3 linked regions of the Mus musculus genome follow. The protein of the gene in region 2 purifies or fractionates together with the protein of the main gene of each other region. This does not show direct contact. Links are inferred from orthologs where the notes say so. Each region holds a gene or a part of one and is shown on either strand. Other genes may lie near its edges.

Region 1 (3,653 bases), on a different chromosome or scaffold from region 2:
AGGAGGACATGGCAAGAGTCACCACAAGTGCAAATCCAGCCTGTGTACCTGTCAAGTTCTAGGCCAACCAGAACTACAGAATGAGTAGTAGAAGACGGAGACCAGCAGCAGATCTGGGAATTCAAGGCTGCTGCGGTCTACGTAGTGAGTTCCAGGACAATCAGGCTGTATCATGAGACCCTGTCTCAAGAGAGAGAAAAGGGGGGACATTGGCACTGTAAGTTTCTAATGCTCCACAATAAAGACCTATCGATTAAGGGCCTCAGCTATCTGTGATGAGGCCTGTGTGTGGCTTTGCTTGTATATACATGCAGTTTCTTCTGTGGCTTCCTGTGTTTAATTTTTGAGGAAAAGTATTTTTTAAGTAGATATATGTTATATTAACATATTTGTCTATTTAAAGGAAAACTACTACTGTCTATTGAAAAAAATTTTTTTTGTTTCCACAGAAACCTGCTAATATTTTAGTTATGGGTGAAGGTCCTGAGCGAGGAAGAGTAAAAATTGGTATGTTATATCTATGATAAGTCACAGTTCAGTATAGTTTTGAAATTGCTGTAGGCAGCTATATTACTGTTTTCTGTATCAGTATGTGTGTATATCTGTAGTTCCGAATGTCAAAACATTCTAAAAGTACATAAAAGGGAACACCTTCCCCCTGTCTCAGACAGTCCTTAGAGAACAAACTGCTGTAGTTAGAAAATAAGCACACAGGCAGGCCTCCTCCAACCATCTGCCTTGGTTAAACAGCTCTTGGAGCTGGTGGCTTCTTTCCTCCTCTGAGGCCAGCCTTGTCTCCTCTTAGAAGCACGTGGCCGATTTGATTCTCCCATCAGTCTCTGTAGCCAGGTCAATGAGAAGAAGCACTGCTCTCATTTGTCCAGCTGAGGAGCTGAGCAAGGCCTGAGTCCTTAGTCGCAGTGTGTACAGCTCTCCGTATGCAGGGCTGTCCCTGGCCTTGCCTAAGGGCAACGGCCTTCATGGCAGTGCACCTTGATGCTCTGTGCTGTCCTCTGTGTCAGACTTCTCTAAGGTCACAGTGTGACAGGACAGCAAAATTTACCCTAACTGCTGCTGCTTCCATTGTCGTTTTCCTAAGCAGTGTTTGTTACTTATATTTAGTTTGTTTGGTATAGGGGTAGAAGACATGTAATTAAGTTATAAATTAGTGTAATTAAGATACAGAGTCATAAGAGCACAGAACACAATTAACAGTAGTTTCTCTTGCAATGTTTGACATAAAGTAGAGCACTGGTTCCCAGCCTTCCTGTTGCTGAGACTCTTTTTAACACAGTTCCTCATGTTGTGGGGCCCTCCAACCATGAAATTATTTTTGATACTATTGTGAATTGTAGTGTAAATATTTGTGTTTTCCAATTGTCTTAGGTTCTGTGAAAGGGTTTTTCAACCTCAAAAGGGGTTGCAACCCACAGGTTGAGTGAGAACTGCTGAAGTAGAAGCTCCTGTAGCTATATGCCTGCTCACCAGCCAGTAAAACTTGGCTCTTCTCCACCTCTCCCCCACCCTCCTTTATGAGTCCCCCCAAAGCTCATGGTCCACTTTTAAATAAGCTAAGTGTTTTTTTATGATACAAACTTTGCAGATTCTTAGTTGTGAGAACATGTGATCCATGTTGTAATCTGAACTACAGTCTGCCATTGATGTCTGACCCTGATAATCCTGGGGCCACCAAATGCTTGTGGCCTTACGTGAGCCTCTGAAGGCATCTCTTCCATCTGATGTCACACTGTCAGATTCAAATGTTAGTCCTGGGAATACAGATTGGCCTAGGCCGAGTCACAGAACAGTTTTTTGTATGTCCTTTACCATCTGGTTTAGAAAAATTCTGCATAGCACATTTAAGTTCTCCCTTAGAATTGCACTTTTGTGTAGTAGTACGTGATGGTGGAGTGCTGGGTGGCACCACTTCATCAGCTATTCACATTTCAAAGGAAATATTTGATAATCTGATTTAAGGTTTTTATTTTTTTGCCAAAATTTGTGGGTTTTTTCCTCCATAATTAAGTCAGTTAAAGGTAAATCTACTTCATTAAAAATATGAAGAATATATACTGGAGGTTACAATATGGCTTAGAGGTTAAGAGCACTGGCTGCTCTTCTAGAGGTCCTGAGTTCAATTCCCAGCAACCATGTGGTGGCTCACAACCATCTGTAATGGAACCTTGTGCCCTTTTCTGTGCAGGCATACATGCAGGCAAAACATTGTGTATATAATAAATTAACATAATGTTAGAATTAAATTTTCCAGATGGTCTTGAATCTTGACATCTCCCAGTGGGTGGTAAACGTGGGTCATCCTGTATTTGTGTGCAGTGACTGCGTGTGAAGCCGTACAGAGATGAAGCCTCTAAGACTATGGATTAGCAGTACAAAGTTCGTAACCAAGTAGTTTGATGGCGTGGTACTGGTGCCAAGAACTCTCCAGTGCCATCTTGGAGACCTAGTTTTGTGGGTTTTGTTGTTGTTGTTGCTGTTTTTGGACTTCAGTCTCATGTGAAGAAGCACAGAAGTGAAATAAATCGCCTTTCAACTTAAAAAGTACAACGATTCTTTTAAGTTAGTGAAACTCCGGCCAAGTAAGTGAGGGAATAGTATTCAAGTTCTCTGTAGTCACCCTGATGACCACTGTGAGCAGGCCTGCTGATGCACAGCGGAGAGTACTGAGTACTGAGAGGTGAAGCACAGCTCAGTGTCAGGCTGTGCCTCTGAACCAGGTCTGCCCTGCCCGGGGAGAGCTGAGGAGCTGATCTCCGGTGCTTCTACATTTCAGTCCGTCAAAGTGCGGAACTTTATCCTCCTACCCCGGCCGGCCGGCTCTGCACACGTTCTTGATGACAACACTGGTAAATGAGACTGCATATGCAAAGTAAACTGTTGACTGATGTGGTTTTGTTGTTGTTTTCACAGCTGACATGGGCTTTGCCCGATTATTTAATTCACCTTTGAAGCCTTTAGCAGATTTGGATCCAGTGGTTGTAACATTCTGGTACCGAGCTCCAGAATTACTCCTCGGAGCGCGACATTATACCAAAGCAATTGGTGAGTAGGACTAGTTAAAATTACAGGGCTTTAAAATATTTTTCTGTGAAAGAGACATTTTTGTACATGTTTAAATCAAGAATTAGAAAATTATAAAAACAAAACCCCAGAATTCACTATCCATATATACACATTAGTACCTGATAACATGAAATTGCACGTCTCTTTACAAAAGAGGTTCAGAATGTTTTCAGTTAAAAAAAATTAGTTTTATATGAAAAGAGAAAACTAAAAATTTTCAGTTCTACGACTTTATACAAACGTTCTTTCTGTCACCAAAGAAATGCTAACGTCTAGGCAATATCTCAGAAACTAAAGAGAGAAAACATGTAAACTTGAGCAGTTAAGACTTATTCAAAGTTAGGAGCAAGGCACTCCTGCTTCCTCACGTCCCGTTGTCAGCTGTGTTAGTGACGTCACAGTGCGGGCCGCTCTTTCTCAGGTCCTCTGGTGGCTGCCATTCAGGTTGTCGGTAGCTCACTCACTCACATGGTGCAGCAAATGAAGCTCTCACCCGAAGCCTTTTCTGCAACTTCCCCATGATTGACATCTCTTCTGCCTCACATTAATAAGGTGACCCTTACTGTAATCCT
Region 2 (3,414 bases):
TGAACTTCTGAACATCGTAGTTGTGTTGATCAGGCTGCTCTGGTCTTAGGTTGGTACTTTTTTCTCTCATCAGTGAAGTTTCATGACACAGTAACAAATGTCACAAGACCCTCTCCCTCCCTCACACCCTGCCCTGCTCTTCTCCCCCCCCCCCCCCCAGTATACTTTGCCCGGTCTGTTTTTGAGAAATTGACAAGTCTTCCGTGCTCTGGAAGGATTGTTTTGTTTTTGTCATTACTGGTATTGTGGGTGCCTGTCTTCCACTGAAATGTGGCCTATATCTGAAGATTTTTCCCGCAAGCCCCAGTAGATAGAGAGCTAATGTGGGCTGTCCCAGCTTCCATTTCCCTCAGACATTCTCTATAGAGGAAAAAGATGTAGCTTTTGTTTTATTAACTACTGTTGAAAACCCTGAGGAAATAAAGGAAAATACATGGATGTTAACATAATATTTAATTAGAACATAATTGATAGCTATTCACTGCTGTAAATGTTAATTTTAAAATCTAAGATCATCTTGTCTTGGACTGTGTACTGTCAGAAAAAGGAAGAACATATTCTGAAGTCACTAATTGGGGGCAGCAGGAGGAAGGTGGTGTTCATGATTCTGTTCTGAATCGTGCTCTGTTTCTTTAGGTTCTTGATTGTCTACAATGGGTGAACCACAGCAAGTGAGTGCACTTCCACCGCCTCCAATGCAGTACATCAAGGAATATACAGATGAAAATATTCAGGAAGGCTTGGCTCCCAAGCCTCCTCCTCCAATTAAAGACAGCTACATGATGTTTGGCAACCAGTTCCAATGTGATGATCTTATCATTCGCCCTTTAGAAAGTCAGGGCATTGAACGGCTTCATCCTATGCAATTTGATCATAAGAAAGAGCTGAGAAAACTCAATATGTCTATACTGATTAATTTCTTAGACCTTTTAGACATCTTAATAAGAAGTCCTGGGAGTATAAAACGAGAAGAAAAGCTAGAAGATCTTAAGCTACTTTTTGTACATGTACATCATCTTATAAATGAATATCGACCCCACCAAGCAAGAGAGACTTTGAGAGTCATGATGGAGGTCCAGAAACGCCAGCGCCTTGAAACAGCTGAGAGGTTTCAGAAACATCTGGAACGAGTCATTGAAATGATTCAGAATTGCTTGGCTTCTTTGCCCGATGATTTGCCCCATTCAGAAGCAGGGATGAGAGTTAAAGCTGAGCCGATGGATACTGATGATAACAGCAATTGTCCTGGACAGAATGAACAACAAAGAGAAAGTTCAGGTCACAGAAGGGACCAGATTATAGAAAAAGATGCTGCCTTATGTGTGCTAATTGATGAAATGAATGAAAGGCCATGAAGAATATTCCTTTTTTTCCTTTTAGTAAGTAGCATCATATATTAGTTTATTTCCTCTCAGACAGTCTTAAGAGGTATAACTAAAGATACTAAGAGACTTTTTTTCAATTGAAATGCTGTAGGTGGTAATTTAACACTAAACATAGGCCAGCAAGTATATTTGAGTAATTGCCATAAAAAAGCTGAATGTTTGCTATTGTTTGAGATAGTCCTATTTTTTGGAGTTGGAATAAAAACTTGAAGTAATAACGAATTGTCATTCTTGGAAAAAAAGTTATTTGCTTCGAGACTAATAAAGGGCATCAAGTGTACATGTGAAATTATAAAATGTTTAGATTTATTCCAAAATAATATAGAAAGTTTATTTTTCTGATTACTGTTCCAGCAAACTCAGTATCACAGCTTTTCTCCTCCTTATTCTCCATAGAATATTTGTTAGGGACTCTTTTTTTGCCCCAGTCAGGTAATGATGTGGTTATGATCCAATTCTATGAGAAATGTACATACTTCACCTTCACAGATGGATACAGGCTTCCCCCAAAAGATAACTCTATTGAGTAGCTATTCAGTCTCAACATAGCTTCTTTTCTGGTTTGTGTTTGCTAAGACTATCCTAGTCTCTTAGCCATCATACCACCCTCAGAAGAGTCTTGCTTCCAAAGTAATCTAATCAGAACACCTTGTCCAGTTTATATCCTTTTCAAACACATGTATATGTTGGTAGCACAGTTCTAATCACAAAGCTACCCACAACTCAATCCGTCTTTAGTCATTACAGATGAGGAAGTAGAGGTTCAGAGAAGTTGACTTAACCAACTAATAAGTGGCAGAATCAAGTTAGAAAGTAGGTATTCAGTTTCATAGCCAAAGTACTGAACTTCATTCTCTATCCTCTAGTCTGTCATACTGGAAATCATAACTAGAGCTACTCCAGTTTTCTAATCTTGAAATCCACCCTAGTAAATACCTCATGACACTAGACTCAAGAGGATACATTTGTTGATTGGAAGAATGACTTCTCTTTAAACATACTCAGGAGGCAGGGTTTGTTGGTTAAGACTTCCATATCTTAAGATGGTGCTTGTAATTCTACCTAAAAACCCTTCTTAGTAGGTAATGTTCCTAACTAAGACTCATAAGAATTAAAACTTCACATTTATGGTTTGGTTGGGCAAGAGTCTATGTGGGATAAGAAATCGGCAAAGATTTTTCTTGTTTTGCCCCCTTCTCCCTTTTTTGGTTCCTTGTCATCTTCATCTGGTGGTAAACTTACTGTACAGCCATTTAATAGGCATTGAAAGGTATACAATTTCTCTTTCATAATACTCATCTATGGCTTGACAGCAGTCATAGACAATAGGTAAATGAAAGCACTGCTCTAATCCAACTCTCATATATGAACAATTGGAATAAAATATGGACGCTGAAAATTGAAACTCAATTATCCAGGAATTTTGTGAGATATTTTGAGTTTTTGGGCCACCTAAATGTAAATTTCTACACTCTTGGGAGTTGAAAATCAGATCACGGAGTAGATTTGGCTGATGGCCTACATGGTTTAAATCCTGAAACATCACTGAGATACTAATGGAGGGGCAGTAGGTAAGGGTGCTAGCTTAGAATTCATGGTTGAAGGAAAGAATGGACTCTTGAGAGTTACAGTGAATACACTACAGAAATAAAAACAGCAAAATCTCCGTAGAATTGTTTTAAGGATTGAAAGAGATAACAGCTAATATTCTTACCACTTGTTAAAAGTTTTACTTATTTTTGGCATTTGTAGCCCTGGCTGGCATGAAACTATATAGACCAATCTGGCCTCAATCCAAATCCTGCTACCTTAGCTGCAGTGTTGGAGTTCTAGGCAGGTGTCACCACACTCAGCTTCTGGTTTTACTTTTCATTTGGAAGTAACTGGGAACAATTATGGGGCTCCGTGTGATGTTTCTATGCAAGTATACTCCACTGAGTTTTAACTTTAGCAAACCATTGACATTGAGCATTACAATTTTAAAAACTGGCTTCATATTGTAATGTGATGCTGCTGTCAATAAGTGGCA
Region 3 (3,753 bases), about 14 Mb from region 2:
GTTTTGCAGTCATTTGAAAAGCGGCAGATGAGCGCTGTGCTATCCCACTTTTATGTCAACTTAACACAGAGTCAGCAGAGAGGAAGGAAACTCAGTTGGAAAAATGCTCCCACAGAAGCATGCTGTAGGCGAGCCTGAAGAGCATCCTAACTAGTGATTACAGTGAGGAGGCCCCACCCACTGTGGGGAGTCACCCTGGGCTGGTGGTCTTACTAGAGTAAGAAAGCACGCTGAAGTTGGGCAGTGGTGGCTCATGACATTAATCCCAGTACGTAGGGGTGTAGACGCAAGCAGATTTCTGAATTTGAGGCCAACCTGGCTTAAAAATAGTTCCAGAACAGCCAGGAATACAAGGAGAAACAAACACAATAAAAAAGGAAGAGAGAGCGCACTGAGCAAGAAAGCACTCCTCCATGGCCTCTACATCAGCCTCTGCCTGCAGGTTGCTGCCGACTTCCTCCAGTGAGGAAAAGTGATACAGAAGTGTAAGTCAGATAAACCCTTTCCTCCACAGTTTGCTTTTGGTCAGTGTTTCAGCACAGCAGTAGCAGTCCTAAGACAAACACCAAACCACCAGAGCAAGAAACCCAGACTGCCTCAGCTCCAGCAAGAGGGCTTGCCAATGTTCCTAAATGTGACCGGAACTGTAATCTTGTCTTAATTTACTTTTAGTATCTAATGGTTTAGAAGAAATTCAGAGGTTTGCACCTAGTGTCCTGTGGCTATACAGGTATGTGCTAAATAACCTGATTAATGCCAGATCATATATTCAGTAACTGTCTAATGCTTATAATGTAACCAAAACCTTCCTTTGCCTAATGACAAAGTAGTTGTGGTAATGTTGCAGCAGAATGCGCCACTCACAAGAGTGTGAAAAAAAAAAAAGTATACTGCCTGATGGATAAAAAGTATTACCTATACAATTACAGGTAGTTCTTAATGCTTGATAATGATAATAAATAATGATGTCACTAGTTTATGGATGTATTATACTGTAGCGCTTCGCCTTGTTGCCTAGAGACAGGGTCTCATATTAAATAGGAAGTTAACAGTGTCAGCCAGGCAGCCTGGCCAGAGCTCTTGAGATCTGTCTGTAGCGCTGGGACGCTGGGGCTCCAGGCACGAGCAGCCATGACTGGCTTTTTATGTGGACGCTGAGGATTGGAACTCAGATCCTTGTGCCGTTTGTACCGCGAGTGCTCTTACCCACCAACCTGTCCAACTCCCAGTGTTGCTAAGAATCCTGACTGCACAAAGAGGCACCAGGCAGTAACTGTTCCGCGTCACCTAAGTTTATCAAAGCACACTTGAGAATGCTTGCACCAAAAAGTGTACCTCTTGGAAATGACCCAAGCGTATATGGAGTGAGCAAAAACATAGGCCATCATGGAGACTGGAGACTTTGGGCCTAAAAGACCATACATCCTTGTATATTCTATTAGAATTATTAGAATAAAGTTAATAGTGGGACACAATCATTCAGAGCAACTTCTGTGTCTTCGTTTCAAATGTTTCCTAGCATCACTTCTCCCCTCTCCACTTGTTTGTTTGGAGACAGGGTTTCTCTGGATAGCCCTGGCTGTCCTGGAACTCACTCTGTAAACCAGGCTGGCCTCGAACTCAGAAATCCGCCTGCCTCTGCCTCCCAAGTGCTGGGATTAAAGGTGTGCGCCATCTCTCCACTTTTAAGAATGTTTGTTTGTTTTTCTTTGCTTGTAACCGTTAAGCCCTGTAAGGGTAAATGGCTGCTCCTTTCTTTACGGTGTACAACCCTAGTACCTAACAGAGCCCACACAGGTAAGATGCCTCGCATTGAAATGGGTACTAAACTGTGTACACGGTGAGAATCTCGAGTCTGAACGTCTGAGGTCCACCAAAATTCGAACACTTTTCGGGGCTCATATAATGCCACAAGTGAGAAATTCCGCTCTGGGCTTCATGCGAACAGTCAAAACGCAGGCGAATTAAAACAACTGTATAAAATTGCCTTCGGGCTATGTGTAAGGACTTAAGACCCATCCCCAAGTCACTGCAGGATCTGGGATGGGACACTGCAGAACCTATCTATGCATTTGATCAGTACGTGGGCTTCACCCGGGAGTAAAGTGTAACTCTTAAGGCGCCTGACAACGTGGGCCCTCTGGGAAAATGGGGCGTGGTCCAGAGCCCACGGGCTTTGGCAGCTCGGAACCAGGGACACTAGAGTCGCAAAAAGTGGTGTCTTAACCTTTCCTAGACCCTTACCATTTGATGACATTGTGAACCAACGGCAAAAAGGAGTAATTCTCCTCCTTCGCGCCAGCGGGGGACTGAGGCCGCGGAGCCGCCGGCGGCGGGAGCGCAGCGACCGGCAGAGGCTGAGGCGGTGGTGGCGGCTTGGACTCCGGCAGCAGCTCGGGCGGTGGCTGTAGCGTATCTTCGGCCTGTCTCCCACCCGCCACCCCAGAGGAAGCCATAGCACCAGGAGTCCAGCAGCTGCCGAGGGGCGCTGGGTGCTTGCGTCACAACTGCGCGCCCGGGGAGGCCGGGCGGGAAAAAACTCTGAGTCTGCGCCCTGGGCGTAGGCGGGCGGGCGTTGCTAGGCGACGGGTGTCGGGAAAGCTAAATTGAGTAGTCAGGATTAGGGAATCTACTCCAGTCATCTTTCTAGTTCACATGACAGAGAGAGGTCAAAACACCAACGAGGACCCCCGGGACTGGCAGGAAGAACGGATGACGCTGGTGAGCACCGTGTGAAACTGAGGCTCTGCGGCAGCGAGCATCCAGATGACAAGGACTTACACGTCTTTGTGTCATGCTAGCCTCCAGGAGGGCCCCAGACTGGCGACAGCAAAACAGGCCATACAAACTAGTTCCACACGGCTGCCAAGGGGAAAACTAATCGTTCTTCAAGCATTTGGTATGCATCTAGCAGGTGCCAGACTACATACGTATATAAGACTAAGATCTTGGACCAAATAGGAGAACTTTACGATAGGCTTGTATTTATTCATTTCAAGCAAATGGGCTCCATTAAAAATTTTCTGGACAAGGGTAGCAGTAATTCTGATTCTGACTAACAAAAATCAGGGATTAGGGAAGCTGTCAACTGGGAGAGGACATCTGTCTTTGATGACAGGAACCATGTCAGTAAAGAGAGGCCAGGAGCCCACATCTCAGAAACAAAAAGAAGCAGGAACGTGGAACTTCACAATGGTGTTTTCAGGTTTTTTAGCTACAGGTCTCAGAATTGTTTTCTTCAGAGCTGCAGATAGTTCTCTAAACAGAGGCACTGTCAGGAAAAGAATAATCTCAGTGTTGCTCAAAAGAAGACAGAAACAAAGTGAAACAAGGTGATTTATTTATTTCTTGAAAATGAGTGCACCAGAACTCAAGATAAGATAGCAGAAACACTCAACAAAATGGCCACTTTCTTCCATCTCAGGCTTAGGTGCATTTCATCCCATTAGTGGGAACACAACTTCTCAATATGACTCAATGGGCTAATCACCCAAAGGGAAAGGTGGGTGGGGGGAGTGGAGTTAGGGAATACAGGCCCCTGTGGAACTAAGTGTCTGATTAGAAGAACATTTCTCACTGCAGGAAACTGTAGGATTTCCTTCTAACCCAGGACCTCTCCACCTTAGGGGAAGGGCCATGATTCCTGAGGAAGAAGGGAGAAGAGAATGGTCTAAGATGGAACCAGGTGTGCCAGAAAAGACTTGAAGACACCTCTGGAGACATCTGGGAGAATGCATGGTAAAACGGCAGTGT

The links.
Region 1: the proteins of Med7 (region 2) and Cdk8 purify together in Homo sapiens (affinity purification with mass spectrometry; 7 studies listed by BioGRID and IntAct, counting the BioPlex papers as one, with this or other methods). This does not show direct contact. The link is inferred for Mus musculus from reciprocal best matches to the Homo sapiens genes MED7 and CDK8.
Region 3: the proteins of Med7 (region 2) and Med9 purify together in Homo sapiens (affinity purification with mass spectrometry; 5 studies listed by BioGRID and IntAct, counting the BioPlex papers as one, with this or other methods). This does not show direct contact. The link is inferred for Mus musculus from reciprocal best matches to the Homo sapiens genes MED7 and MED9.

The regions. Positions count from the first base shown.
Region 1 is NC_000071.6:146,283,180-146,286,832, forward strand, and holds part of Cdk8 (cyclin-dependent kinase 8), read left to right. Parts: intron 1-449; coding exon 450-507; intron 508-2,928; coding exon 2,929-3,060; intron 3,061-3,653.
Region 2 is NC_000077.6:46,439,927-46,443,340, forward strand, and holds the end of Med7 (mediator of RNA polymerase II transcription subunit 7), read left to right. Parts: 5' UTR 1-49; intron 50-636; 5' UTR 637-653; coding exon 654-1,355; 3' UTR 1,356-2,795; downstream 2,796-3,414. UniProt on the Homo sapiens protein: Component of the Mediator complex, a coactivator involved in the regulated transcription of nearly all RNA polymerase II-dependent genes.
Region 3 is NC_000077.6:59,946,970-59,950,722, reverse strand, and holds the start of Med9 (mediator of RNA polymerase II transcription subunit 9), read right to left. Parts: upstream 2,510-3,753; 5' UTR 2,457-2,509; coding exon 2,245-2,456; intron 1-2,244.